7 linked regions of the Macaca mulatta genome follow. The protein of the gene in region 4 interacts with the protein of the main gene of each other region in a biochemical or structural test. Links are inferred from orthologs where the notes say so. Each region holds a gene or a part of one and is shown on either strand. Other genes may lie near its edges.

The links.
Region 1: the proteins of UBC (region 4) and TOM1L1 form a complex in vitro, tested with the Homo sapiens proteins (2 studies listed by BioGRID). The link is inferred for Macaca mulatta from reciprocal best matches to the Homo sapiens genes UBC and TOM1L1.
Region 2: the proteins of UBC (region 4) and PSMD2 form a complex in vitro, tested with the Homo sapiens proteins (2 studies listed by BioGRID). The link is inferred for Macaca mulatta from reciprocal best matches to the Homo sapiens genes UBC and PSMD2.
Region 3: the proteins of UBC (region 4) and OSBPL8 form a complex in vitro, tested with the Homo sapiens proteins (2 studies listed by BioGRID). The link is inferred for Macaca mulatta from reciprocal best matches to the Homo sapiens genes UBC and OSBPL8.
Region 5: the proteins of UBC (region 4) and USP34 form a complex in vitro, tested with the Homo sapiens proteins (2 studies listed by BioGRID, with this or other methods). The link is inferred for Macaca mulatta from reciprocal best matches to the Homo sapiens genes UBC and USP34.
Region 6: of the proteins of UBC (region 4) and AREL1, one has a biochemical effect on the other in vitro, tested with the Homo sapiens proteins (3 studies listed by BioGRID). The link is inferred for Macaca mulatta from reciprocal best matches to the Homo sapiens genes UBC and AREL1.
Region 7: the proteins of UBC (region 4) and USP9X form a complex in vitro, tested with the Homo sapiens proteins (5 studies listed by BioGRID, with this or other methods). The link is inferred for Macaca mulatta from reciprocal best matches to the Homo sapiens genes UBC and USP9X.

Annotation. Positions count from the first base shown.
Region 1 is NC_133421.1:55,050,356-55,053,855, forward strand, and holds part of TOM1L1 (TOM1-like protein 1), read right to left. Parts: intron 3,348-3,500; coding exon 3,222-3,347; intron 2,466-3,221; coding exon 2,361-2,465; intron 1,361-2,360; coding exon 1,244-1,360; intron 1-1,243. UniProt on the Homo sapiens protein: Probable adapter protein involved in signaling pathways. Interacts with the SH2 and SH3 domains of various signaling proteins when it is phosphorylated. May promote FYN activation, possibly by disrupting intramolecular SH3-dependent interactions.
Region 2 is NC_133407.1:96,437,907-96,442,170, reverse strand, and holds the start of PSMD2 (26S proteasome non-ATPase regulatory subunit 2), read right to left. Parts: upstream 2,801-4,264; 5' UTR 2,769-2,800; coding exon 2,634-2,768; intron 2,187-2,633; coding exon 2,130-2,186; intron 1,754-2,129; coding exon 1,589-1,753; intron 491-1,588; coding exon 369-490; intron 180-368; coding exon 1-179. UniProt on the Homo sapiens protein: Component of the 26S proteasome, a multiprotein complex involved in the ATP-dependent degradation of ubiquitinated proteins.
Region 3 is NC_133416.1:83,717,976-83,722,225, forward strand, and holds the start of OSBPL8 (oxysterol-binding protein-related protein 8), read right to left. Parts: upstream 2,801-4,250; 5' UTR 2,396-2,800; intron 1-2,395. UniProt on the Homo sapiens protein: Lipid transporter involved in lipid countertransport between the endoplasmic reticulum and the plasma membrane: specifically exchanges phosphatidylserine with phosphatidylinositol 4-phosphate (PI4P), delivering phosphatidylserine to the plasma membrane in exchange for PI4P, which is degraded by the SAC1/SACM1L phosphatase in the endoplasmic reticulum.
Region 4 is NC_133416.1:132,362,011-132,365,879, forward strand, and holds UBC (polyubiquitin-C), read right to left. Parts: upstream 2,399-3,869; coding exon 569-2,398; 3' UTR 501-568; downstream 1-500.
Region 5 is NC_133418.1:63,290,838-63,294,896, reverse strand, and holds the start of USP34 (ubiquitin carboxyl-terminal hydrolase 34), read right to left. Parts: upstream 2,801-4,059; 5' UTR 2,406-2,800; coding exon 2,363-2,405; intron 1-2,362. UniProt on the Homo sapiens protein: Ubiquitin hydrolase that can remove conjugated ubiquitin from AXIN1 and AXIN2, thereby acting as a regulator of Wnt signaling pathway.
Region 6 is NC_133412.1:147,882,481-147,886,618, forward strand, and holds the start of AREL1 (apoptosis-resistant E3 ubiquitin protein ligase 1), read right to left. Parts: upstream 2,801-4,138; 5' UTR 2,512-2,800; intron 1,618-2,511; exon of another isoform or gene 1,525-1,617; intron 1-1,524. UniProt on the Homo sapiens protein: E3 ubiquitin-protein ligase that catalyzes 'Lys-11'- or 'Lys-33'-linked polyubiquitin chains, with some preference for 'Lys-33' linkages.
Region 7 is NC_133426.1:41,047,346-41,050,845, reverse strand, and holds part of USP9X (ubiquitin carboxyl-terminal hydrolase 9X), read right to left. Parts: intron 1,760-3,500; coding exon 1,417-1,759; intron 132-1,416; coding exon 36-131; intron 1-35.

The sequences.
Region 1 (3,500 bases), on a different chromosome or scaffold from region 4:
TAGGGAACAGTAAAATTTCTGAAATATTAAAGTAGAGAAATAACAAATGCAACTAGAAAAAAATATAAATCAAAGGATTAAGAAGCAGAATAATATAATACTTCTATCAGCATTAGTGGGTGTAAAAGAACAATGAAGCAGTATCTTCAAAGGCCTGAAGAACAAGAATTTTGTGCCTAGAATTTTATATCTAGCTAAACTAATCTGCATTTAACATGACAATCAAAGGACATTTTTGGATATGCAAGCACTCAAAGTTTGCACCAAAGTTTACCAACATGGGTGTACTTCAGCAAGGAAAAAACAAACTATTCACGATAGCAGTGATATATAAGAAACATTGTTGGGAAAATTTTTAAAATTTTTTTTGTTTCCCAAATAAGAAATGAGCATGGGAAAAGTTATTTACTAACAATCTAAGAAGTTAAAGGAAAAATAACACATGAGAAGTGGGGAGTGGGAATCTGAGGAAAGTAAAAATATCTTAAGCTTCTTAGTTTAGCAACAAAGGGACTTAGAAACTAGAAACTGATTTTTTTTCTAACTGCTTCTAAAATTAATAAGTTTTAAAATTTTAAATAATTAGAACAGCAAACCAGTAGAGGGAAAAATAAAGTATATGTATACACAGACATAGCAGAAGGCATAGGAGGGCTGTAGAACTACTCATGCAGGTCCAAATGCCCTGTCTACTTGTTCCTCTACAGCTCAAGCACTGCCTCCATCTAGACCATTCCTAAAAACCTCACCTCTCTCCTTCTGCCCACCCATGATCCCACCATACACTGAACAAATTTATATTACAGTATCTATAATACTTCTTTATGTTTGTTGTTTACAAACCAATCTTGCTCATTAGGCATAAATTCTTAAGGACTAGAACAGCCTCCTCCTCATTTCTACATCCCTTCCTATATCACAGTTACTCAATGTTTGTTGAATGGATGAAAATAGAGGCAATTTTTACATACTTAAAACAACTAGAGAATTGATTATACATGACCAAGGTTATAACTTACAATAAATTATTTGTTGCAAGAGGCTAAAATCCACGTCTAAGTCACTACCGCATTTCTGACAAAGTCATTCTTGGATATTTTTGTTAAGTTTAGAAATCAATTGAAATGAGGATGTAGGAGGACGTACTAGACAATATTAAGGTGTCTTCCATCTCCAAAGCTCAGAATTTAGAGAATAACTTTAAGAGACACTTTGACTGATTGTCCCTGAAATCGTACAACACCTGCAGAAGCTCTATGTCTTCATGGTTTTCAGACCCAGGCGTATTCTCCATCAATATGGCGGACATCACTCGCACATTCATTTTCACCATATCCAATTCACTGTGCAATTTTCCAATCTGTAGAGAGCAACACAATCACCAGTCAGTGTGGCACACAGAGAATGTGTTCACATTCCTTGTTTCCTGCCCCCATGGGACATTTGCTGGAAGAAAAAATACTTCTGCAAAATTTAATATTTTCAAACTTAAATTTAATTTCATATAAATATACACATAGTTATTTTACAATGTATACCTTGTCACCTTCTAAAAGGACTTGAGATCTCTTGTAATAAACCCCAAAATATGCTTTAGGAATTTTAAAAATGAAAGAAAAAAAAAAAGGTTAGAACCAAATATGAAGAGGGGAGAAGTACTAGGTACCTAGCAGAAGGAGGTACCAGAAACCTGGATAAAATGGCAAAAGTTATCCTGAGTTTCTTGGCAACCGACAGGATAAAAGAAAAACAAATGAGGGTTATCTAGTTCTCATGGTATTAAAGAAGAAAGAAGAAATAAATCTTTTTCCTGTATTAAATTCTAAGAGGAATTAGTCACATGAATTTTTATATAAGAAAAAAATAATAATACAAAGTCTTCAATTATAGTTCCTTTACAGCGGAACGGAAATGGGCTTCATACAATAATTGCTTATCTGTACCTTGGACAAACTGATATACACAAAGAAGTAAATACAATTCAGTTGGCATAATAAATACAAGTAATAAGACTACCATTTACAAAACTCTCTGAAATATGTGACAGTCCTACCAGAAGTAACAGGAATTAGCTCATGGACACTAGATCCAGTCCACAGTCAAGGCTCCACAAAGCCATGAAAGCCACTAGGCAAGCACAACTCTTACAAAGTTGGGCTTTGGAAGTAGACAGAACCAATGGGATTAATCCTTCTTGGAACTGAACTATAAGTCACATAGTATGACTAAGCCTCAGTCTCTTCCTCTGTAAAATAAATGTACCTACATCTCAATGTTGTTAACCAGAAAGGACAAACTGTATATAAGGTGCTTACAAATCAGGAAAACATATCAATAAATACAGTGATTGCTGTTGTTACCTGTTCTGGGACCAATGTAATAGTCGAGTTCTTTGGAGCAATTACAGAAGAAAGAGCTGGTGCAGTAGGGACAGATGTTGGAGGATTTGATGAGATTTGAGCAGTCTATGAGTATAAAATATGGTAATATTATTATGTGAATTAACATAGCCACCCAACGCCAAGTTTTTTCCATTCAGCTAACTCAAGCACTCTCAAACAAAGTCCTGTGTACAGGGTATCTGCCCGGAGTAAATCATCAACTACACAACCCGTCCAGCATTTTGTGAAGAATGCTAAGCAAATGAGATGCCCATAATAAAGCAGGTATTCAACAAGAGGTGGCTATTAGAATTATCATTTACAATTTAATAAAATGCCTTTTTTTTTTTTTTTTTTTTTTTACCAAGGGTTTAAGTGATAAACTGCCATGTGAGATTATTGATGCCTTCTCTTTGGACTGTTAATAACAAATGATAGCTCAATTCATGTCAAGTCTGTTTAAGCCACAGCTGACAAGGCATCTCCTTCTCCATCAATGACCCTCCTTGGGTCAATGCCACATCTCCAACCTTGGGCGGCGAGGTGAAAGCTCAAGGCTCTAGGCCAGTGCTTCTCAACATAAATGTACAGAGAAAACACCTGGAAATCTTGTAAAAAGGGAGGTTCTGATTAGTCTAGGGTGGAGCAAGCCAAACAAACTTTCACACTTTAAGTAGCAAAATCCCAAGTCTCGGTTATTCTATGAGATATTGCAATATCCTTCTAATAAATTCATCTTTTTGCTTAAGCTTAAGTGGATTTGGGGTTGTCTCTTGCAATGAGAAAAGACCCAACTGATATACTACTATACTCTCCATGGGTCAAAGAAAGGCCTCTTACCTCTTGTCTTGCTGTTTCAGCCTCTGCTTCTGAGGGAGGAAACTGAACGCCTTTCTTAAGCAGGTCGAGGTATACTTCTTTGACTTCGCTTACATCCACACCTCCTGGGAAACCCTGTGACCAAGCCTGAGTTCAAGAGATGAAAACGTTCCAGAGTTAAAACAGCAACAAAACCAAAACACAATTCTTTTTTTTTTTTTTTTTGAGACAGTCTCACACTGTTGCCTGGGCTGGAGTGCAATGGCACAATCTCAGCTCACTGCAATCTCCACCTCCCGG
Region 2 (4,264 bases), on a different chromosome or scaffold from region 4:
CCTTCTCGAGCATGTCCACCTGCTCAATTTCCATAAGCAGGTCACAGGCCTCATGCTCTGCATTGTGGGCCATGTTGTAGGGGACAATTTCCTTCACCAGAGTGAGCAGTGGCTCCCGCTGGACCTTCTCCGCGTCATCCAGCTCCTGCCACTCCTTAGCCACTTCTCCTGCCAGATGCCTACAGATACGCCCAGACGATTAAGGGAGCACAGCTTCAGGGGAAGCACTTCTCTGTGGGTCAAGGAATCCAGTGTCTGGGAAATTCAATACACTGATACTCCAAGACAGATGGTTCTCCACAAGAGAATTCTGAATTATCTCAGAGCCTCAGAGGCCCCCTTCAGATTCCCAAGAAGAAAGATCTTACCTGACATACTCATGACCCCATGATGCCAATTCCTCCTGGGAGCCCACTAGCCGATACTTGAGGCACTCGCGCTCCCCACTCATGGTCATGGCCAAAACAGAGATGATGTCAGCAGCAAAACGCTATAAAGAAAACAGTCCTTTGAAGTCAAACCCAACAGTCCAGCATAAAGGGAACATGCCTTGTGGAATCAAGATCGTTATCTCCAAAATTTAACTATTAACTATATACCAATCTCTGTACTAGAAATTTAACACGTTATCTAAGCTAAACCTCACAAAAACCAAGGTTGGTGTTGCTATCTCCATTTTTTTTTTTTTTTTTTTTTTGAGATGCAGTTTCGCTCTCAGGATGGAGTAATGGAGTGCAATGGTGCGCTCGGCTCACTGCAACCTCTGCCTCCAGGGTTCAAGCAATTCTCCTGCCTCAGTCTCCTGAGTAGCTGGGATTACAGGTGCCCACCACCACACGCAGTTAATTTTTTTTTTTTTTTGTATTTTTAGTAGAGACAGGGTTTCACCATGTTGGCCAGGCTGGTCTCAAACTCCTGACCTCAGGTGATCCACCCCTCGGCCTCCCAAAGTGCTAGGGTTACAGGTGTGAGCCACCACACCCAGCCACTATCTTCCTTTTAAACTAACACAGCTGAAGGGTGATAAACAAGGGATAATGTGGAGAAAAATGGAGGCTCTCAATTTTACTTTAATGGCAATTATAAACGATTAAAAGGTTTTAAGCAGAAAAGACCCATAACTGAGAAAGATCACAATAGCTGCTACATAAGAGACAGACTGTGTAGGAACAAAGGACAAAAGCAACATCAGTTAAGCGGTGCTGCAATAGCCCATGCGAAAACTGAACATTTCCAGGATGAGGGTTGTACCAGCAAGCACAGAAGTGACTGAATGTGGAACATATTTTAGAGATAAATGAATGTGCATGGGATAGAAGGAAAGAGAAAAACCAAGATTAAACATAAGTTAAAAATAAACCATTATAATGAAACCCCAAAGTCCAACACAAATAACAGAAACGGTGTCTTCTGAGAAGTTGATTTTCCTTTCAGCTCTTTTATGGATATTTTGACTGTGATGAACTCTGCTCAAATAGATCAGGGCTTAGGTCTATCAGGCTGCCTGTGACTCACAATGAGCCCCCCCATGGTCTGGGTAAAAAGGAATTCCTAAACTAGGCCTCCACCAGGTTTGAAACTGTTTTACCTTATTCTCCCCAGGGGCCATGTTCTCATAGATTTCCTTCAGTTTGCCATAGTGTGGACGCAGAAATTTGAGAGGCTTGGGCACTGAAGTCATGGAAGTTGTAGAAGAACGAATTTGCCTTCGCAATTCCTCCAGCGCTGGTCGATACAGGGATGTGTCCTTCTCCTGATCAAGAGAAGACAGGGCTCAGACAAAAAGGAGTCACACCCCTTCAAGTCATAATACAGAGATATTTAACTTAACAACTCCTCCAAGGAAATAGCCGTGTCTTATTCATTCATCTGTGATTCCTCAACTCCCTGCACCCTGCCTGGCACAAAAACAAATGACCCAAGTTAAGAGTTAAGAACTCTGCTTCTCCCACAAGAGAAAGCTGCAAAACTGCACGAATACCCTTTGTAACTCTCCTGCCTCCCAACATCATCATAACACTGACTCTAAAATACAGTCCACCGCACACAGCAGTTGCCTCAAAACAGAATAAAACAAACAAGTGGGAAAGATCCAAACATGTCCGAATCGTGTTAACATCGTGACTCACCCCCAGTCGTTCCACGAGCATCTCCAGTTCATCTTGAAGCTGTTTGTCCTCCTCAGACTGGAGGGTTGGGAGAAGCAGCTCATTAAGAGAAGGAATCCCAAAGACGTCCTCCTCCCACTTACCCGGGGCAGGTGGAGAATAAGCCTGCCTTCTTAGGAGGGGCCAGGTGGGCAAGGAAACAGTGGGAATAGGAAGCTCTGGTGGGAAATCAGCCTGGGTTCTGAACGAGGCTCTACTTGAAAGCCACTCTAGGAAACGGAGGTGACAATGACCCGCCCGAGTCCACCTCACGCGGCGGTGGTGAGGGTTGGTGGAGACGGCGGAGGTGACAGCGCGGAACGGAGAATGAGGAGCAGAGAGGCAGGGTGCCGGGAGTCCCGAGGGTCGCCCCAACCGCCCTCTCCCTGGTGCGGTGGGGTCGTTGGGTGTCGGGCCTGAGGCCTGTGGAGCCGCCGTGACTCAGCCCCGCGGCCTCCTCCGCCGGCTCTTGGGGTCGCGCCTCACCAGCTCCTGTTCTTTGTCCTTGTCCCCAGCATCCCGCCGCTCCTTGCCGCTTGGCTTCTCGTCCGTGCCGCCGGGGGCCGCCGCTGGGGGCTGCTGGGGCTGCACCGGCGCCTTGTCCCGGCCTCCCTCCTCCATCTCCGCCGCCACTGCCGGCCCGCTGCGCGCGCACCCGCTCGCACCGCCCTTTTTCCCAGACCGCCTCGCGCGCGTCGGCCGCGGCGCCCCTCCTCCTCCAGAGGCCACCCGCGACCGGAAACGCCGGGGCGAGCCGGGGGCGCTCGGCGACCCATCCACCCACATGGCCTGAGAGCCCCGCCCCCTGACCCCGCCCTCGGAGGCAGGCGGAGACTACAATTCCCAGCCTCCCTCGCGCCATAGGCACTCCTGGTCCCCGACCTCTTCGGAGTTTCCTGCATCCAGCGGGACTTCGCCGTGTGGCGTTTGGGTACGCTCGCTGCCGTAGATGGGCGGTTTGCGACCCGAGATACCGAGTTTTCCTTGGCCATAGGTTTTTCTCATAACGGTGTAAATAGAACCCACAGTGACACTCCAGTTGGCTGCGTGGCGCGACAGACAAAGTAGATTTCTTGAAGTCCAGGACGCTTGATTGCCGCCTGTATAAAGTCTGTGTAACTGTGTCTAGCCCACTGTGAAATATTAACTTCATTTGTCTTTGTTATTGTTGTTGTTGCTTTTGAGGAGACTCGCTGTCTCGCCCAGGCTGGAGTGCAGTGGCGCCATCTCAGCTCACTGCAACCTCCCCATACCGAGTTCAGGCGATTCTCGTGCCTCAGCCCAATAGCTGGGATTACAGGCGCCCGCCACCAAGCCCAGCTAATTTTTGTATTTTTTAGTAGAGATGGGGGTTTCACTATGTTGGCCAGGCTGGTCTCGAACTCCTGACCTCAAGTTATCTGCCTGCCTCGGCCTCCCAAAGTGCTGGAATTACAGACATAAGCCACTGTGCCCGGCCTGGAACTGTGTCTTATTCATCTTTATGCTCCTAGCCTCCAGCCTAGTGCCTGGCTTGTGGTAGGCCTTGATAAATGTTTGCAGAATACAGGCATGCGTGAATGAATGAATGAATGAATGAATGAATGAATGAATGGCTTTGTATTCATCTTCAGGCCATCTTTGTGTATAATAATGACCCACTGGGGGCTGTCTTTGGAGGCTAGAACTAGGCATTGGAAAATCATCAGGTTTCTACATTTGCGAATCATGACAGACCCACTAAAACTTTTTTTTTTTTGAGATGGAGTCTCCCTCTGTCGCCCAGGCTGGAGTGCAGTGGCGCGATCTCGGCTTACTGCAACCTCCGCCTCCCAGGTTCAAGCGATTCTTCTGCCTCAGCCTCTCAAGTAGCTGGGGATTACAGTCACGTACCACCACGCCTGGCTAATTTTTGTATTTTTAGTGGAGACAGGGTTTCACCGTGTTTGTCAGGCTGGTCTCGAACTCCTGACGTGGTGATCCGCCTGCCTTGGCCTCCCAAAGTGTTGGGATTACAGGTGTGAGTCACTGCGCCCGGCTTATTAACCTCATTTGATATTCTTACTCAGTTGAAAGAGAGTACTCTGCTATTCCCGTGGCTACCATTTTAAATACTTTGGGGAGCCAGGTGGAGTCGA
Region 3 (4,250 bases), about 49 Mb from region 4:
TTTTATTCAAGTTGTGTTTGTCTTATTTGCAGTTCATTATTTGTAACATTAAGACAGGACCTATTCCTCTTTGAATTGCCTGATGCTCCAAGAACATTGCTATAAATGTTTTTAACTTTCGATATAATACCAACATTACAACATGACATTTCAGGTATTGTTATTAGGATTAAAGTTTTCCAAATTAATATCAGAAAACTAAATCTATGTACTGTATCAATTCTTTGTCTTTAATGCCTCAATTCAAGAAATCTGCTTTTGAAGGATTATTTACAAACCAAAGCAAGTTGAAATGTACTAACACTGGTTAAAATTCTGCAATTCATACTTTTAAACGAAAGATCCGCTAGGCACAGTGGCTCATGCCTGTAATACCAGCACTCTGGGAGGCTAGGCAGATGGATCTTGAGGCCAGGAGTTGGAGACCAGCCTGGCCAACATGGTGAAACCCCATCTCTAATAAAAATACAAAAATTAGCCTGGCATGGTGGCGCGCACCTGTAATCCCAGCTACTCAGGAGGCTGACACATAAGAATATCTTGAATCCAGGAGGCAGAGGCTGCAGTGAGCCAAGTTGCACCACTGCACTCCAGCCTGGGAAACAGAGTGAGACTCTGTCTAAAAAAATAAAAATAAAATTTCTTTTGTAATGCATATTTTACAAATTCATAATTTCATCATTTTTCTTAAAACAAACTAAAACATAACTTCATTATACACAATTGTAAATGTATCCCCAAAGTGTAGTCTAAACCTTTCAATTTTTAAATGAACCAAGAAACTGAATATTAACAAATGTATAAGTACCCTGAATGTGTTATAAAAAACATATTTGACTGCCTTTAAAATGCAATAACATTCTAACTGGAAAATATAGTAGCATCTTTCCACAGATCAGAGATTCAATAACTATTATGATCCAATCAAAGAGAAATAAACCATGGCCATTTTTAATTAAACAGGCATTTCTAAGCACCTGTGTACACGGTATTGCTGTTCAAACGGTTGACATGGAATGTGACCGCAATACCTTGATGTCCATAATTAAAGACCCAAAAGGTAGCTTAAGTTTCATCTATTCCCTTTCTCAGCTCTTTGAACAGGCATATTATAGTCACTCCATAAATGGTTAATATCGAAAAAAAATAAGTTACAAACATTTGAAATTAGTTGTACTTTCATAGAGAACAGTTTTAAACCGCATGGCCTTACTCTTCCTTTTCCAACCTATTTTATAAAACTAGCATGATCTTAATAATTTCACTGCAAAACAGGTTCTAGCAAGCATAGAAACTGATCATAGCCTCTCAGCATGAGCAAGTTTAGATGAAACCCTAGAAAATTAGCAAAATCTAACAATCAATTCACCCACGATTCTCCACAATTCTTGCTCTCTCTAGATACAAAGGGAGGCAAAAACTGTTTTAAATGATTATTTCAAAAGCAGCACTAATTTGGGGAAAAACTTAACTGCCATGCAGGAGACACTGTGTTACTACTCAGACGTCATTTAAGTCTTCCAGCAGCAGAAAGGGAAAAACATCATTAAATTTTTTATTTAATGCATATATACTTACATTATCAGTTAAAGTTTACCCATCTGTTTACCTAGTACAAGTTACCTATTATTTCAGAAAGCATTTAAATAAAATGAAATTAGGTTACGTTCTGCAACGCAGATGTGTCTCATAAAGAGGGTTAAATGACTTTTGTGAATGGAAAATCTGCATATACTGTTGCTTCGCCTCAGCCAGTCTTGAGTGGGTGGTTCAATGAACCTAAAGCATGCTGCATGTGAAGCTCCTTGGAACCTGACTCCACTCTTGAGAGAGGGCTTAGAAACAAATTTAAAAGCACAGCAAAGGCTTGGCTTTCCTCCTACGTTACAAGAAGGCCGGGAGAACTGAGGCTTAGGGGAACACACCGTGTCGCTCGGCTCTGCAAAGGCGGGTGTGGTCTGCGGTGCGCGGCACAGCCTCCTCTGGGGCTGTCACAGGAAAAAAGGAGCCTCGTCTTAACCGCACCAAGCGACAAAGCGCCAGCTCTCCTGGGCGCGGGGGCTCCCAACGAGACCCATGCCATCGACCTATCAAACTTCAGGAGGGACAGACACCCGGGGCAGTCGAAATGCTCCAAGAGCCTCCCACCCCCGTTCCCCTGCCGCGGCTTTTGTAAGGCTGCAGATGCACCTACCGTGGGCCCCGAAACACTCCACCCCGCCAGCCTTTCTAATCCCCCTACTCCAAAATGGAACAAAGGAGCCAAAGAACTCCTCGGCGCGGGTGGCCAGGAGTCCCCGACAGCCCGAGCTCAGAATGTGGCAATAAGGGTGCGCAGTCGCTCTGAGGGGTGCGGACCCAGCACCCCCACCTCAGGAATGGAGCAAACACTCACCCGTGCTGAGCTCCCAGGGAGGCGGGACGCAAGGAGCCGGTTCCTCCGGAGTCGCGGCGGCGCCGGGGTCCGGGGCCCCGTACGCGTCTAGTCAGACCCCAACTTCTCTCGGCCGCTGTCGTCGGCGGCAGCTGGGGCGCGAGCCCGGACGGAGGGCGCTGCCCAGCTGCCGCGGAGGCACTGCTGGCTCAGCCTCCGAGCGGGGCGGGTACTTTCGGCCCCGCGGTCCACCGGACAGGGCGGACCCCCACCTTCCCTCAGAGTCGGCTTGTTACCGGCAGCGGCTACTGCGGAGTCCAAAGCTAACACTACAGCCGCCGCCTGACCAGGAGCGCGTCGCGGCCTAATGTTGTCATCCGCCGCGTCGCCGCCTTTCTGGGCACCCAGAACCGCCAAGATCCTTCACATTCTAGCGCCCTCCCACTGCCCAGCCCGCCCCTAGGATCACGGGCTTCGGCCACGCCCTCTTCCCGTCACGTGACGGTGCCCGGATACAGAGGTGGAGTTGCTTACCCTGCCAGGCGGGCGCGAACAGCGCGGGAGCCAGTGTCCACCTTGCTTCGCCAGGGTGTTATCGCCAGCCAGTCCCCTTCCGCATGCCCAAGGGCAGCCTCAGGAAGCGAGCCCACCAAAGGTCGGCCCAGCGCCTGTTGATCGGCCAGGCCTTATGGGCGGGTCGTACCGGGCCCTTCTTGGCCTGAGGAGATTGCACAGTAGGGCTCCCTGGTCTGGTCAGGGCTCAGTTAGTACCCCTCTCCTTTTTAAGGCTTGGTAAAAGCTTTAGCGAAACAAAGAAAAAAGAACGCATCGTAGAGTGTCTGGCCTAAGAAGCATTCCGTAACTACTTGTTCCTATTTCTAGTGGCACATTAATCGTGGCATTTGATTCACTGCTTCCCTCATTAGAGGTTTTTTTTTTTTGAGGAAACGGTGTATTTCAATCACGCTGGGATGAAAACAGCCTAGCAAACTTATTTTTATTCCTTCTTGTGTTCAGGATCCTGCTGCCAATTTTACAGTCATTAAGTTTTACAGTGTGTTAGGTTGGTGACAGTTTAAACGGGTACACAGGAATTTGACAGTTGGTTCCATTTTTAAAATAAAGCCTAATTCTTGAATTTTTTTTCTAATGCCTTAACTTTTTTTCCTAATGGCTTAACTCTAGGACTTAACCTTTTGCTTTCTTTTTTAGCCATGATCCGAAGAACCCCTCTAGCCGCCTAATGAAATAACTATACAGAAGTAAGGGAGGTAGAATAGAGAAAGATCATACTCAAACCCTGATCACAATGAAGGCAAATGAGAAAGCTTTCTGTAGTAATTAAACTGGGGTCGTAACTCATTTTCCCTTGTAGCCCAGAACTAAGGATTTTTTCTTAAGCTATTCTCATCTCATTGCATTTTCTTAACAAGAAGTCAGAAGGCATTCTGATAAGTTGGATACATTGAAATGAATAAGCAATAGAGTTCGGCCTATATAATCCTTATTATTGATATATTTCATAGCAGCTCTAAAAAAATCATAGACTTACATTGTTTTATTTTACCCAAGAAAGAAAACAAAGGCTGCCAATGGAACTATGCCATACCACTGTTAAGTAAGGCACCTTTAAGCCACATTTTTTTTTTTTTTTTTTTTTCTTTGAGACAGGGTCTCACTCTGTCTCCCAGACTGGAGTGCAGTGGCGCCATCTCGGCACACTGCAATTTCCGCCTCCCAGGCACAAGTGATTCTCCTGCCTCAGCCTCCGGAGGATCTGGGATTACAGGCATGCACCACCATGCCCAGCTAATTTTTGTATTTTTAGTAGAGAGGGGATTTCACCATGTTGGCCAGGCTGGTGTTGAACTCCTGA
Region 4 (3,869 bases):
CCCACCACTCCCACCTTTTAAAATTCCTTCTTCCTGGTGTTCCGGTAATTCTCCCATTCTCTTACCTCACACATCACCCACAAACCAGTATTTTTAAAGTTAACTTAAGAGTTAAATCTACATATGTAAAATACTTCCATCTCCCAACAACTTTTTTGTCTTGCTGTTCCCCCAGCGGGAGGACAGTGGCACTCAGATCACAGCAACCTCCGCTTAATTGGTTCAAGGGATTCTCCTTCACCCTCCCATGTAGCTGGAATCACAGACACTCACACCTGCCTTTTTGTATTTGCAGTAGACATAGGGTTTCACCACATTGGCCAATCTGGTCTTGAAGCCGGCTTTTATTTGCACCCACCTTCTACAGTTCGTACTATATTAAGGTCAACCCCTTCACTGACATTTCACTGTTACCACAGCAACATTTGTAAACTGAAAACCTTGATCCCCTTCACCCAGTCTAATGCAAAATAACCTTAACTTTTAAAAAACCACACCAGTTGGGAATGCAACAACTTTATTGAAAGAAAAGTGCAATGAAATTTGTTGAAACCTTAAAAGGGGAAACTTAGACACCCCCCCTCAAGCGCAGGACCAAGTGCAGAGTGGACTCTTTCTGGATGTTGTAGTCAGACAGGGTGCGTCCATCTTCCAGCTGTTTCCCAGCAAAGATCAACCTCTGCTGGTCAGGAGGGATGCCTTCCTTGTCCTGGATCTTTGCCTTGACATTCTCAATGGTGTCGCTGGGCTCCACCTCAAGGGTGATGGTCTTGCCAGTGAGGGTCTTCACGAAGATCTGCATCCCACCTCTGAGGCGGAGCACCAGGTGCAGGGTGGACTCTTTCTGGATGTTGTAGTCAGACAGGGTGCGCCCATCTTCCAGCTGTTTCCCAGCAAAGATCAACCTCTGCTGGTCAGGAGGGATGCCTTCCTTGTCCTGGATCTTTGCCTTGACATTCTCAATGGTGTCGCTGGGCTCCACCTCAAGGGTGATGGTCTTGCCAGTGAGGGTCTTCACGAAGATCTGCATCCCACCTCTGAGGCGGAGCACCAGGTGCAGGGTGGACTCTTTCTGGATGTTGTAGTCAGACAGGGTGCGTCCATCTTCCAGCTGTTTCCCAGCAAAGATCAACCTCTGCTGGTCAGGAGGGATGCCTTCCTTATCCTGGATCTTTGCCTTGACATTCTCAATGGTGTCGCTGGGCTCCACCTCGAGGGTGATGGTCTTGCCAGTCAGGGTCTTCACGAAGATCTGCATCCCACCTCTGAGACGGAGCACGAGGTGCAGGGTGGACTCTTTCTGGATGTTGTAGTCAGACAGGGTGCGCCCATCTTCCAGCTGCTTTCCAGCAAAGATCAACCTCTGCTGGTCAGGAGGGATGCCCTCCTTGTCCTGGATCTTTGCCTTGACATTTTCAATAGTGTCACTGGGCTCCACCTCGAGGGTGATGGTCTTGCCAGTCAGGGTCTTCACGAAGATCTGCATCCCACCTCTGAGACGGAGCACGAGGTGCAGGGTGGACTCTTTCTGGATGTTGTAGTCAGACAGGGTGCGCCCATCTTCCAGCTGCTTTCCAGCAAAGATCAACCTCTGCTGGTCAGGAGGGATGCCCTCCTTGTCCTGGATCTTTGCCTTGACATTTTCAATAGTGTCACTGGGCTCCACCTCAAGGGTGATGGTCTTGCCAGTGAGGGTCTTCACGAAGATCTGCATCCCACCTCTGAGACGGAGCACCAGGTGCAGGGTGGACTCTTTCTGGATGTTGTAGTCAGACAGGGTGCGCCCATCTTCCAGCTGCTTTCCGGCAAAGATCAACCTCTGCTGGTCAGGAGGAATGCCTTCCTTGTCCTGGATCTTTGCCTTGACATTCTCGATGGTGTCACTGGGCTCCACCTCGAGGGTGATGGTCTTGCCAGTGAGGGTCTTCACGAAGATCTGCATCCCACCTCTGAGGCGGAGCACCAGGTGCAGGGTAGACTCTTTCTGGATGTTGTAGTCAGACAGGGTGCGTCCATCTTCCAGCTGTTTCCCGGCAAAGATCAACCTCTGCTGGTCAGGAGGGATGCCTTCCTTGTCTTGGATCTTTGCTTTGACGTTCTCGATGGTGTCACTGGGCTCGACCTCGAGGGTGATGGTCTTGCCAGTCAGGGTCTTCACGAAGATCTGCATCCCACCTCTGAGGCGGAGCACGAGGTGCAGGGTGGACTCTTTCTGGATGTTGTAGTCAGACAGGGTGCGCCCATCTTCCAGCTGCTTTCCGGCAAAGATCAGCCTCTGCTGGTCGGGAGGAATGCCTTCCTTATCTTGGATCTTTGCCTTGACATTCTCAATGGTGTCACTGGGCTCAACCTCAAGGGTGATGGTCTTGCCAGTCAGGGTCTTCACGAAGATCTGCATTGTCTAACAAAAGAGCCAAAAACCACCACCATTTAGCAGACAATGTACTAATCTTCCTAATACTTAAACTATATGTTATATTCACCCAAATGATTACAATTTAAAAGATACCTAAGAAACTTCACAAAATACACTCGCCAACCCCGAACGCATAGTTTAAAACTCAGACTTCAGCTACTTAAGAAAATAGGAACATAGAACTGACCAAAGAAACTGACGCCTCACTTATCCCTCCCCTCACCAGAGGTCAGGCCCCTGTCGACTCAGGAGGGCCTACCCTAGGCCCCAACCCTGCGTCCTGCGACGAAGAAAAGCCTACTGCACACCTACCGGCAGGTGGCCCCACCCCACATTATGAGCCAACAGAACGGATGACGTCACGACACTGCGAGGGCGCGCGCTCCTCAAGCTACGGGTGCACTGCCAAGTGGCACCGCCATTAACTGCCGCCCCCGCAACAGACGACAAAGCGAGTTCTCCGGTCAGTGACAGACTTCACATCAAGGTCCCCAAATGGTGCCCCAGCCCACCTCACCAGAATAAGAGCGTTCCCGCATTAGCGAAAACCTCAAGGCCTTGGGTTCTTGCCGCAAACCATGCCCCCCACCTTGTTTCAACAACCTCACAGCCCGCCTCACAACCGTCTTCCATTCAAGAGCCGGGAACAGCCGCCATTTTGCTGCGCTCCCCTCCCACCCGCTGCTCAGGGGCACCTTGCTCGCGGACCCAGACTACAGCCCTCGGCGGCCTCTCATCCCGCGGCGTCGGCCCCCCTCCATCCCACCGAGCGGCCCAGCGGCCACGAAAGCCATGGCCGGCCCAGCAGCCCTCTGCTCACCAAGTGGCGATGACACCGACACACAAACAAGAACTGCGATCCCACTCCCGGCTGCGACGGAACTAGCTGCGCCACACCCGGCGCGTCCTTATATAGTCATCGGCGTTCACCGCCCCAAGGAAATTCCTCCGCAGAATCGCCGAGAAGGGACTACTTTTGCTCGCCCGTTCCGGTCTCTGGAAAGAAAACCAGTGCCCTACAGTCACCCAAGTCCCGTCCCAAAATGTCCTCCTGCTGAGACTGGGGTTCTGGGACTGAGTCTGGTGGGCAGCGGGCCGCCGTCCTGAGCGCCCAAGCGGAAGAATCAGGGCGCTCGCTGCGCCCTGCGGCCATGACGTGGAGGCGCTCGCCGAGAGGAGGGGGCGTCCGCGGGAGGCGCCAAAACCCGGTGCGGACTCTGCGGCGCCAGGAGCGGGTGGGCAGCCCGCGTTCCTCAGCCGCGGCCCCTCCCCTCAGCCCCCGCGGTCCCCTCGGGTCGCGAACCCCGCGTTCGGCGGACGTGGGGCGCGGACGGAGCCCCTCCCGCAGAGTCGGGGTCTCCCTCCCCTCCCTCGCGACCCGCCCTGGCCCACCCCGCGAGACGGACGGGTCTTTATTTTTGGGTCACATTTGAGATAATGACGGGGCTTTCTT
Region 5 (4,059 bases), on a different chromosome or scaffold from region 4:
CTCAGCCTCCCAAGTAGCTGGGATTACAGGCATGTGCCACTATGCCAGGCTAATTCTATATTTTTAGTAGAGACGGAGTTTCTCCATGTTAGTAGGCTGGTCTTGAACTCCCAAACTCAGGTGATCCGCCAATCTCGGCCTCGAAAATTGCTGGGATTACAGGCAAGAGCCACTGCCCCCGGCTGTAAATTTTTTTAAAAAGGAAGCATCACTGAGAGATTATTGTTTAAGAGTTAAATTTTTATATTGAGCCTCAAAGGCAATATTAAGAAATTATGTATTTTTAGAGTGCACTGGCTTACACACAAATAGAAAATCCTTACTTATTCATTAAAACAGGTTTCTTAGAGGGTGCACATGACCAGATTTTGTGAACCCGGTTGAACTAACTGTATTTGCTTAAAGGTAATAAAAGCTAAATTCTGTCTCAATTCTCCACATTGCTAACTCTCCATAAATGCATTGCATTTTTCAGTGCTTCTAACCAAAGTTCTAGGGGTTTCCCAGATAATCTTAAATAAGACCTTTCATTATGATCAAGATGCCACCTGTTTTCAAAAAATAAACTTTACTTTCTTCAGATGTTTTGTTTAAAATTTTCCAAGTTTAAGATATTTTAAAATCAGCCAGGCTCAGTGGCTCACGCCGGTATTCCCAGCGCTTTGGGAGGCCGAGGCAGGCAGGTAACAAGGTTAGGAGTTCGAGACCAGCCTGACCAACATGGTGAAACCCCATCTCTACTAAAAATACGAAAATCAGCCGGGCATGGTGGGGGGAACCTGTATTCCCAGCTACACGGGAGGCTTAGGCAGGAGAATCGCTTCAACCTGGGAGGCAGAGGTTGCAGTGAGCCAAGATCCTGCCATTGCCCTCCAGCCTGGGCAACAAGAGCAAAACTCTGTCTCGGGGGAAAAATATATATATATTTAAAATCACCAACGAAATTAAGTACTTGTTCCTCATATTACATTGCAAAGCTATTAACTTTCCAAGTTGAGCATAACAAACATCATCACACAACTTGTATCTGATATATAAAATACAGTAAGTATTGAAGATTTATCATATCGTAAACCACCTGCACCAGAAATAAAAATATCTCAAAATACACACAAATAATCTTAAAATTCTAGGATAATTTAGGGTGACACAAATACCGGAACCAATAGTTGGAATATGTGCAAAAGCCTATTCCATCTATCAGGAAGTAAATACGGAGTTGAAATTGAGTTAGAACCCTTCCACTTTTATTGTTGTCTTTGGTCATTCAAGTGACATTCAAACACAAAGTAAAATTCAAACACAAACACCATGATATATTTTATAAATCGAGTGAATTGTATTACAAAATTAGATAGTATGAAAGTCTATCTGTGGAAATATCACAAACAGAATACAAATCCAAAACCCACATAAACTGTTCATAAGTGAGCATTTTTTCAACAACCAACTTTTTGTAAATTGATCCATCTAATTCACCTTTGCCAACCAGGCCTTTAGGCCCAGAAGTAGGTGATTTGACATATATCTTCTATAAGCTGAAATACCATCTTGCAAGGGTCGAAATATAAAATAAAAAGGCCAGAAAAGATCAACGTACCCTCTTTAATAGAAAGTAAAGTATCAGGTAAAAGGCCTTTCCTTCCAGGAGAGATAGGCCATAACTATCCCGGGATGGTATGTGTAGCACAGTGCTCTGCCTAACAGAATTTACCATTAAAGCGGTGAATGCTACACTAAGAAGCATCATTAACAAATTTATTTTTAAAATAGGTATGAAGGTTCCAGTCATCACTATCACAGTTCGTTTTCAGCTATTTAAGGTCTGGCTGAAGTGTTTAAGACACCCACACACCCGCAAGGGAGGGAAAAACCACCACCCTGCTCCCGGGGAGTTTAATGAAAATTAACAGGTAAGAGAGGCCTTGGCAGCACGCTGGAAATCAAAGAGGGCTGCCGGAGGGCTTGGACTGCGGAGGAAAGCCTCGTCCTCCGACCCCACCTCCCCGCACCTTCCTGGCAGGGCGAAGGGGGCGAAAGGGGTGAAGGCGGCAAGGGTCTCATTACTGCCTTCATTAATTGACACCTGTAATGAGAAAACTTTCCGAGAGCCCAGAGCACCCGGGCCCGGCCGGGCCGGAGCTCCGCGGCGGCCGCCTCTCGGGCGCCCAGGTAACCCAGCCGGGTTGGGCCCGAGGCGCCGCGGCGGCCGCGCCACCGCGCACCTTCCCAGGGCGCTAGGCCCGCACGCCGCCCAGCCCGGCCGTCCCCTCCCGCAGGCCGCGGCAGCCCGGGGAAGCCAGAGAGCTGCGCGAGGACCCCAAACCGTGCACCCCGACAGGCCGCTACCGCGGCTACTTACTTTCATTTAACACCTCCACCAGGTCTGCGCAGTTCTCGCACATCGTTCGGCCGCCGCCCCCCCCCTCCCCCGCTTCGGATCACACTGACTGATCCCGACCGGCGGGGGGGAGGGGAGAGAGGCGGAGGAGGGGGCTGGCCGGCCGGCGGGGCGGGGAGGCGACGAGGGCGGGCGGCGGCGGGGACGGGGCGGGGAGCAAGAGAATGGGGGAGGGGGCCGGCGGTCCCCGCAGCGGGCGGGGGAAAGGAGGGGAGCGAGGGGAGGTGCGCAGGCCGGAGGGGCGCGGAGGCGCCGGCGGCGGGGAAGGAGGGGAAGGACGGGGGAAGGGGAGAGGGAGGGAGGGGGCGGGTGGGGAGAGAAGCAGCAGAGTCACTTCACCGACCAGACGCCGCGGCCACCGCCGACGCCGCCGCCATTTTAACAGAGCGCTCGGGCTGCGCTCGGCTCTTTCCGCCCGGGCTTAGGAGCGGCCGAGAGGCGCCGCGCGCTCTCATTCCTCCGCCTCCCTCCCTCCCTCGCCTCTTCTCCGCCCCCCACCTCTCCCTCCGCACACACGCTGCACGCTCCACACCCCGCCGTGACTGGCTCGCCGCCCTCCCTTTCCTCTTCCGTCCGGCCTCCCCGCCCTCGGTCCACCCCCTCCGCGCGCTCGCCCACCCCGCCCAGCCCGGATCTCTGTCAGCGGCCGGAAGGGAAACGCGAAGCCAGCGCGGCCGCGGGGGGAGTCCGGGTGAGTAAGAGAAGATGGCGGAGGCAACGAACGGGTAGCAGTTGCGCGGCGTCGCCCACCGCGACAAACTCCAGGGGCTCCGAGGCCCGGCGAGCGCCGGGTCACTCGTGCCGTCCTGTCCCCCGCCCCTGGGCTTCGCCATTTTTCCCCAGGGCAGGGTCAGGGAATTGGTGCGGGTTTCTTTGGTGTTCCCCCTCTTCCGCGCTCAGGCTTTTGGGGTGGGGGAAGCAGGGAGTCAACTGGAGTGCCGGGCCGGGCCTACTCCGTTGCTCTCTTTTGGGCGCAAGGGCCACTCCCCACGGGGTCTGAGAGTGCATCATCCCAGGGCCCCGCTTAACTGTATCGGTGATTATCGCTACCCTGATTACCTTGGAGGTCCTCCGTCCTGGAGCAGTAAGATCCTTGACGTAACTAGAAATGGCGGAGTAAAGAGTGTTTGCCTAACATCGCCTCGTTTTTACGGAAGAGGGCCCCTCACGATGTGCCCATCAGCTCCACCTGAAATAGCAAGTAATGCTTCTCAGCTGAGAGCGAATAACGAGGATATTAAGATAAAGAACAGGTGAAGGGGTCAGTCAACTGAAGTTTGTAAGGGAATTTTCCTCCCGCCCGCAATTACACCTTGCTTGCTAATTTTTGTGTCCAACGTGTTTACATAGACATCTGACTGCAAAGTCCGTAAGATTGTGTGCATAATCTCTGAATAATAACCAGGTGTCTATCAAGGCCCTGTAGTAATTCTGTTGATAGCTTTTGTGGAGGTTATGGCGCGCCCATCTCTCCATGCCAGAACCACCTGGTTCCAAATGCTTTACCTTTCAGCTGCTTGAAGTTGATACTGTAAACATTCTGCCCAACCTGTTTTAAGTTGTTTCCTACTAGCAGGTGATCCTTAGGATTGTAGATCTATTCTGCCATCATCTTCCTTCTTCCTTGTCTTTCTCACAGAGTTGGGTTTTTGCAGACT
Region 6 (4,138 bases), on a different chromosome or scaffold from region 4:
AAATCTTCCCTAATACTAAATTTAGAAATTCCTTTCCTCTTGTGAATTTCCATAGAACATTGTTTTTATTTATCTTATAGCACTTTTATTCTTTTTTTTTTTTTTTTTTTTGGGACGGAGTTTCACTCTTGTTGCCCAGGCTGGAGTGCAATGGCACCATCTCGGCTCACTGCAACCTCTGCCTCCAAGGTTCAAGCGATTCTCCTGCCTCAGCCTCCCAAGTACCTGGGATTACAGGCATGCACTACCACGCCCAGCTAATTTTGTATTTTTAGTAGAGATGGGGTTTCTCCATGTTGGTCAGGCTGGTCTCAAACTCCTGACCTCAGGTGATCCGCCCACCTTAGCCTCCCAAAGTGCTGGGATTACAGGTGTGAGCCATCATGCTCGGCCTAGCACTTTTATTCTTTTAGTCTCGTTTTTTCATTTTAGAGTGGTTATGAGTAGTCTTAAAAATCCTCCAGGCTGGGCATGGTGGCTCATGTCTGTAATCCCAGCACTTTGGGAGGCTAAGGCGGGAAGATCACTTGAGCTCAGGAGTTTGAGACCAGTGGGACCTCATCTCTACTAAAATTTGAAAACAAATTAGCTGGGCATACTAGTGCACACCTATATCCAGCTACTGGAGGCAGGGAGGGGGCTTGAGGCAGGAGGATTTCTTGAGCCCAGGAGGTTGAGGCTGCAGTGAGCCCTGGTGGCACCACTGCACTCCAACCTGGGCAACAGAGTGAGACCCTGTCTCCAAAAAAAATGCTCCAAAGAAACCAACATAATTGCATATAGTAACTTCAATAAATATGAATAAGATCAAATGTCTGTCCTTTTCTTTGTCCAGAATGCCTAAGGATCAGGAATTTTCCAGATGGGATCTTCCTTGTAGACAGAGCTTGAAAGGATTTCTCTAATTAACAGTGTACTCACTTGAGCCGTTTATAAGTTCCTCAACCTAAAAGTTGCCAATTTAATTCAGTTCAACGAGCAGGTATCAAATGCCCACCACTGGGGTTGCAGATTCCCATGCATGGTATTTTTCTACAGCAGTTTCTACGGCACCCTTTACTTTTTGCTATTCATATTTTTCTGTATGAAATTATTTTGGAACTTTCCCAAGTCTAATTCCAGCACAAACAAGTATATAAGGCTCTACTGTACTATTTCATCCAATTGTTATGAGTATTTTGTGTGTTTTCAAGTTCCTCTCTTTAGTGTCCTTGACCTTTATAAATATGGCATACTGTGATACTTTAAGCTAGAAGAAAAATGTGACAGTAGTAAATTAACAACTTTCTATCTGCTTATCGAGTCACATATCACAGGCCGAACATTGCCTTCAGTGCTTTACATATGTTAGCCTAAGTAACTGTCACCACAACAACTTGGTAAGATGAATACTATCATTCTCGTTTTATGGATTTTTTTTTTTTAAGCTGGGCTTAAAGTTGCTGAATATCTCACATTGGGATAAGTGACAGAGTTGAGATTCAAGCCTGGCTGGAAAGCCTAACAGGGCATGGTGGCTCATACCTGTAATCCCAGCACTTTGGGAAGCCAAGGCAGGAGGATCACTTGAGCTCAAGAGTTCGGAACCAGCCTGAGCAACATGGCAAAACCCCGTCTCTACAAAAAATACAAATAAAAAATTAGTCAGGATGTCATAGTGCACGCCTGTAGTCCCAGCTACTTGGGAGGCTGAGGCGGGAGGACTGCTTGAGACCAGGAGGTCAAGGCTGCAGTGAGCCATGATTGTGCTACAGAACTCCAGCCTGGAGACAGAGAAAGACCCAGTCTCCAAAAAAAAAAAAAAAAAAAAAAAGCAAAAGCCTGTGTCTAACTCTGAAGCTCAATGCTCTTAACCTCTACAGTGAATCATGAAAAAGAATAAAGTCATAAGGATAGTGAAGTATTTGGGGAAAAAAAGATTTACGAAAACAGGTAAAACAAAGTATGAGAAACACTATCCAATCTTACTGTGAGGAATCTCAAAGCAAAGCTAAAATTAGAAAGATAAACTCTTATGGCTCTTTTTTTAATCTTTTGAAATATAAATAAAGCATGACAAAGAAAAGTGGAATGCAATGCCAATTCTCTAGTGCAGAAATATCACTTGCTTACGAAGGATCCTGGTCTGGTTGCTTAATACTATAGCATTTTGGCTCACATTACCTACAAAAGGGGAAAAAGACTTGAAAATATCTGTCTCAAGGGACTGTTAGAAAGTTGATTAACATACATATTTTAAAATCCTCTGCTTTTTCGGAGCATAAAGATTTTTAATTACAATAGCAACTAAATTTTAGCCCTAACATTGAATATCAGTTGTGAAAAAGTCGTTTCCCAAAAATGGAGAACTGGTTTCTTCATATTTAAAAATGCTCTGCTGGGGACAAAGTCAATTCTCACTGCAATTGTATACTTCAACAGCTATCCCTTGCTGAAAAGGCTTAGGAACTGCTCACTGGATCCATGTTCTACATCCCAATAACTAAAGCTCAACTCAGTCTATTACCTTACCTTTAAACGAGGGCCCATGTTCTGAGAACCAAGTAGAGCACTCCTATTCACCAAGGCAGGTCACTTTTGGCCCCTTTCACCTTGTCTTCCAACTTCCACATGAAAGAAAAACGCCGCAAGGTCAACAGAAAGGGTCTATCCATCAGACTTTGTCACAGTAACCAGGTCAGTGTTTCTGGGATGAACTGGATGAATTCCAGGGTAGAGAAATACAGCCCAAGAATATATCATTCCTGGACTTCTCTCTAGTGCAGGGTACAATCGGCTGCCAAAGGATGCCCCAGGATCCTGTCCAAAAAAGAAAATAGGGTTAGTTGGAACAGGTTTTTATTTGCGAAAAAGATTCCCCAGAAAAAAAACAAAGAGAAGGTACAACAGGCAGTGGAAATCGAGACACTAAAAATAACCAAGAATTAGTAAACTCTGACCAAGCATTCTCAATTAAAACTCCACACAGTTTCCTTGAGGCCTCTGACTCCACAAGAAAAGTCAACTGGCAACCTCACTGTCTATAACTATTTCTTCAGCTGAGAAGTGCCAGAGCTTCTTTCAGTTCAGTGTCCCCAAATACTTCCCTATCCTTATGACTTTATTCTTTTCCATGATTCAGCATAGAGGTTAAGAGCACTGAGCTTCAGAATTAGACAAAGGTTTTGGTTTTTTTGACAGGGTCTTTCTCCGTCACCCAGGTTGGAGTGCAGTGGCATGATTACAGCTCACTACAGCCTTGACCTCCTGGGCTCAAGTGATCCTCCCGCCTCAGCCTCCCAAGTAGCTGGGACTACAGGCATGCACTACCACACCTGGCTAATTTTTTATTTGTATTTTTTGTAGAGACGGGGTTTTGCCATGTTGCTCAGGCTGGTCTCTAACTCCTGAGCTCAAGAGATCCTCCTGCCTTGGCCTCCCAAAGTGCTGGGATTACAGGTGTAAGTCCATTCTTCAGTAGAAGCAAACTAGGCCACAGACTTAAAGAGTAACCTTCAGCACAACCACATACCCAGTTTGAATATAATGGGGCTGCAGCACAGGGTCTGGAGCAACCACAAAGACAAGTGAGATGAAAGCACAGACAGAACTGGGTTACGGAGGGCCTTATATGCCATGATAAGGAATTGAGACAATATTCAGCTGGAAAGGAGAAACCTCCAAAGAGCTTTAAAGCCCAATCTATCAGCCTATGCAGTCTGCTCCCTTCGTGCCCACATATGCATTTCCAAGACATGCTTAAATAAAGTTGATTTTATATTTAAAACAGTAAAACCTGCTACTACGAGTCAGGGGAAAATCTGTGAACTTTCAAAATAAAGTCACTAAATAAAGTGCAGTGAAGTCAGTTTATAACTCTCAAAGATATTCATGAACCAAAAATGTAGCAGAAAGGGGGTTTATGGCAATGCATACACAAACAGCCATCATAAGACAAATGAGAAGAGACTACTAATTAGTAAATGTAGAGACAGTCTTACCATATGGCAGGAACTGTTCTCAGTACTTCATACACACAAACTCACAGATACAATTATCCCTATTTTAACACAGATACAATTATCCCTATTTTACAGATGAGGAAACTGGGACACAAAAAGGTTAAAGTCCTTTTCCAGGAAAACACACAGTGAGTAGT
Region 7 (3,500 bases), on a different chromosome or scaffold from region 4:
GATATATGGAAGTTTTAATGCACATCAATCCTCACCTGATTGACTTGTAGTCTTGGACCAAGGTTTGTGTATATCTCTTTGAGGAGATCTATAGCTCTGCTGGCAATATCATCATTACTCTGAATCACGACCTGGTTTCAAAATGATAAAAGTATTCACCCCTTTCAACATATATTTTTTTGGGCATTTAAATTCAAACCATATCCTCAGTTATCTTAAATACACTATTCAATTATTTAATGGTAAGTTGACTTTGATAATCAAGTAAAATTAAGTGAGAAGCACAGACCAAAAGAAAGGATAATAAATGCAAAATGAAAGTCTCCGAAAAAAGTAATTTGTTTAAGAATGAAAGGTACATTTTTGTAAAAATAAAATATGCTTTGACCACTATTATTTAACCCTATAATTTAATATCTTGATAACCAAGTCAGACACTCAAGAAGAAATTCAAATTAGTTGACAGGAAATAAGAGATTACATGAAACACAGTTTAGCATAAAGGACTACTCTACCCCCAGTTTCTATAAATCTTTATCACTCATCTAATTACATTAGTGGTTTCCAAACTATGTTCAGAACCTTAGAGGACTTTGAGGAAGTCTTTCAGTGTTGGCCCCTATAAAAGGGTTGGGGAGGGGAAAGGGGGTAAGCATGGGGAGACCAAGTAAGAAAATATATTTTTTTGTTCAATTCAGTATACATTTTGTAGAGTGGTGCAAATTTTGATTTTTAAGATGTGTTTCTGCTGTTAAAACAATGTTGAAAAACCACATACTTAATGAAAAGCTTTTAAATACTCAAATGCCACAGTAAACATCTTCATCTATGGTTTGCAGGAAAAAATTTCAGACATCCAAACAACAATATAAACTGCTGTATAACAGGTCAGACTTTTAAAGATAGGAATAATACACTAGTACTATAAAAATAGAAAGATTAGCCTTAAAAAGATAGTATTTTATTCCCCCAGCTATTTAAAAATATCACAAGGTAAACAGTGCCAATAAAGTATATACTCATAATCTATACTAAACACAAATCCTCTCTTCTGTCCTCTATTTTAGCGTTAAACATTGAAGAGGAGGAAACAGATCGACACTGAATGAAAAATTGGGAAGGAACAATATCCACGGGGAGGAATGGAAGATTTGTATGTTTAGTGCACATCTATGGAATACACAGATACTAAGCTAAGACAAAAGGAACATCAGTGGCAGGAGGAGGGAGAGGAAGAGAGAAGAAAAAGCCCACTGACAAGTGATATAATAATAAAAATGAACAATTACTAACTACACCAAATTCCTGAGACAAACATCACAGTAAAATACACAATTTATATGTGAAATTATAATTCCTTATGTATATGAAAAAGTACATCAGACACTGTTTACAGAGTTCCTACTTTTGACTTACCCTCCAAAGGTAATCTAATCCTATTAACTCCAAGTCATCCATCATATAGGCTCTCCTTTTTGCTACTAGTTTTCCTTCTCGACAATTCACAGCTTTGAAGAATCGCTCAAAACACTTCATTCCATTTTCAGTTAACAGAGAAGGATCAAGCTGAAGCACATTACTTTCAAAGAAGTCCTTATTAATATCAGGATCTAAGTCTGGTTCATCCCCCATCAATTTGGAATACCACTTAAAACAGGCTTCACGATCACAAAGGTAAACTGCATTCTCAGCTAAGCATTTCCATATTTGTTTTGCCTGAGGAGCACATAGCCACAGTTGGCCATCCTTCAATAAAAATCTTGAAAAAACATAAAAAATTGGCAATTAGATTTATGTAATTTTTATCCTGAAAGGCAATCTATATTATCTATAAAATACATTTATCACCATTATATTTTAACTATAGATAAAAAGATATTCATTTTCAAAATAGCCTATTTTTCTACTTTTATCTGGTACTAAAAAAAATCCCCACTAGATATTAATTCAACAAGCACACACTGAACATCCACTTTGTGCCTGAAATGCAGCTAGCTGAATTATGAATAAAAGATTCGTTCCCTGAACTTTTAACCATTTAGTCTTTGAAACCAGACTTTTGGAAAGAAGGACGTTTAGTAGCTTGAGTTAAAAATAAAAGACTTCGGCTGGGCACAGTAACTCATGCCTGTAATGACAGCACTTTGGGAGGCTGAGGTGGGCGGATCACCTGAGGTCAGGAGTTCGTGACCAGCCTGGTCAACATGGCAAAACCCCATCTCGATTAAAAATACAAAAATTAGCTGGGTGTGGTGGCTCGTGTCTGTAGTCCCAGCTACTGGGGAAAGTGAGGCATGAGAATCAATTGAACCTGGGAGGTGGAGGTAGCAGTGAGCCAAGACTGTGCCACTGCACTACAGCCTGGGTGAGACTCTGTCAAGAAAGATAGAAGGAAAGACAGAAAGAAAGTCAGAAGGAAAGAAAGAAAGAAAGAAAAAGAAAAATGAAGAGAGAGAGAGAGAAAGAAAGAAAGAAAAAGAAAGAAAGAGAGAAAGAGAGAGACTTAGCATCCTGCTTATATGGCATCATTGAAAAATGAGGTATTCAATTAAGTGACTTTCACAAATAACTAATCCATCAATACTTATGAGTTAAAACTGCTTACATTTTCAAAGCTTTTCCATTTTTTTGTTTTATTCTAAAGATGGCATAAACCCTTCTTCAAATGAAAATCCCAGTTGGAATCTGATATATATATAAAAACTATAGCTGCTCCAGTTGCCGGGAGAGGAAAAAGAAAGGAAAAAACCGGGAAACTTCCTACTGCTTGTTCAGAAATCTTCAAGGAACTTAACTCAGAAGCCCTAAAGCTCCTACATAAGTTTGAAAAACTACTGGTCTAATAGGAAGAGCACAGACTTAAGTAAAAGAGACCTAGTTGAGTAGTGCAATTCCATCATATACTGGCTGTGAGACTTCAAACAAGCTACCTGAAGCCACTGGAATCCTGGGTTTCTTATTGATCAAATGGGAGTAACACTTGCTGCACTGTGTTGCTTCAGAGTAAATATAAAGTGTCTGGCACAGGCCCAACACACAGCAGGCATTAAAGTCAGGTTCCTCTCCCTTGAGTTGGTTGCTATAGCTCACATACAGAGGTACTAACAGAGTAGAAACTACAATAGTTTCTCGGATTCCAAACTTTAAAATGGCAAAAGGGCTTGAAACCACTTTTCTGTTCTAGTAAACCTAAGGGACATATAACACACGCCAATCAGTAACGACTGCTTACTATGGCAGTAACTCTCAATGTGGGGAGGCAAGTCCTTCTACCCAGGTGGTTAAAAACAAAACACACAGAAAAAAAAAATTCACTTTAAACCAGTGCCAAATTTCTTAAAATTTGGTTGAAGTTTTTCCTAAAATTAAAATCATCATATAGCTACTTAAAATTTTATCCATAAATAAGCACACAGTTCAATAAATAGAAATCCGTAATTAACACAGCCCAGGACAAAACTCCCCAGAATGTTATTAAAATAAATGGGGCCAGGCACGGT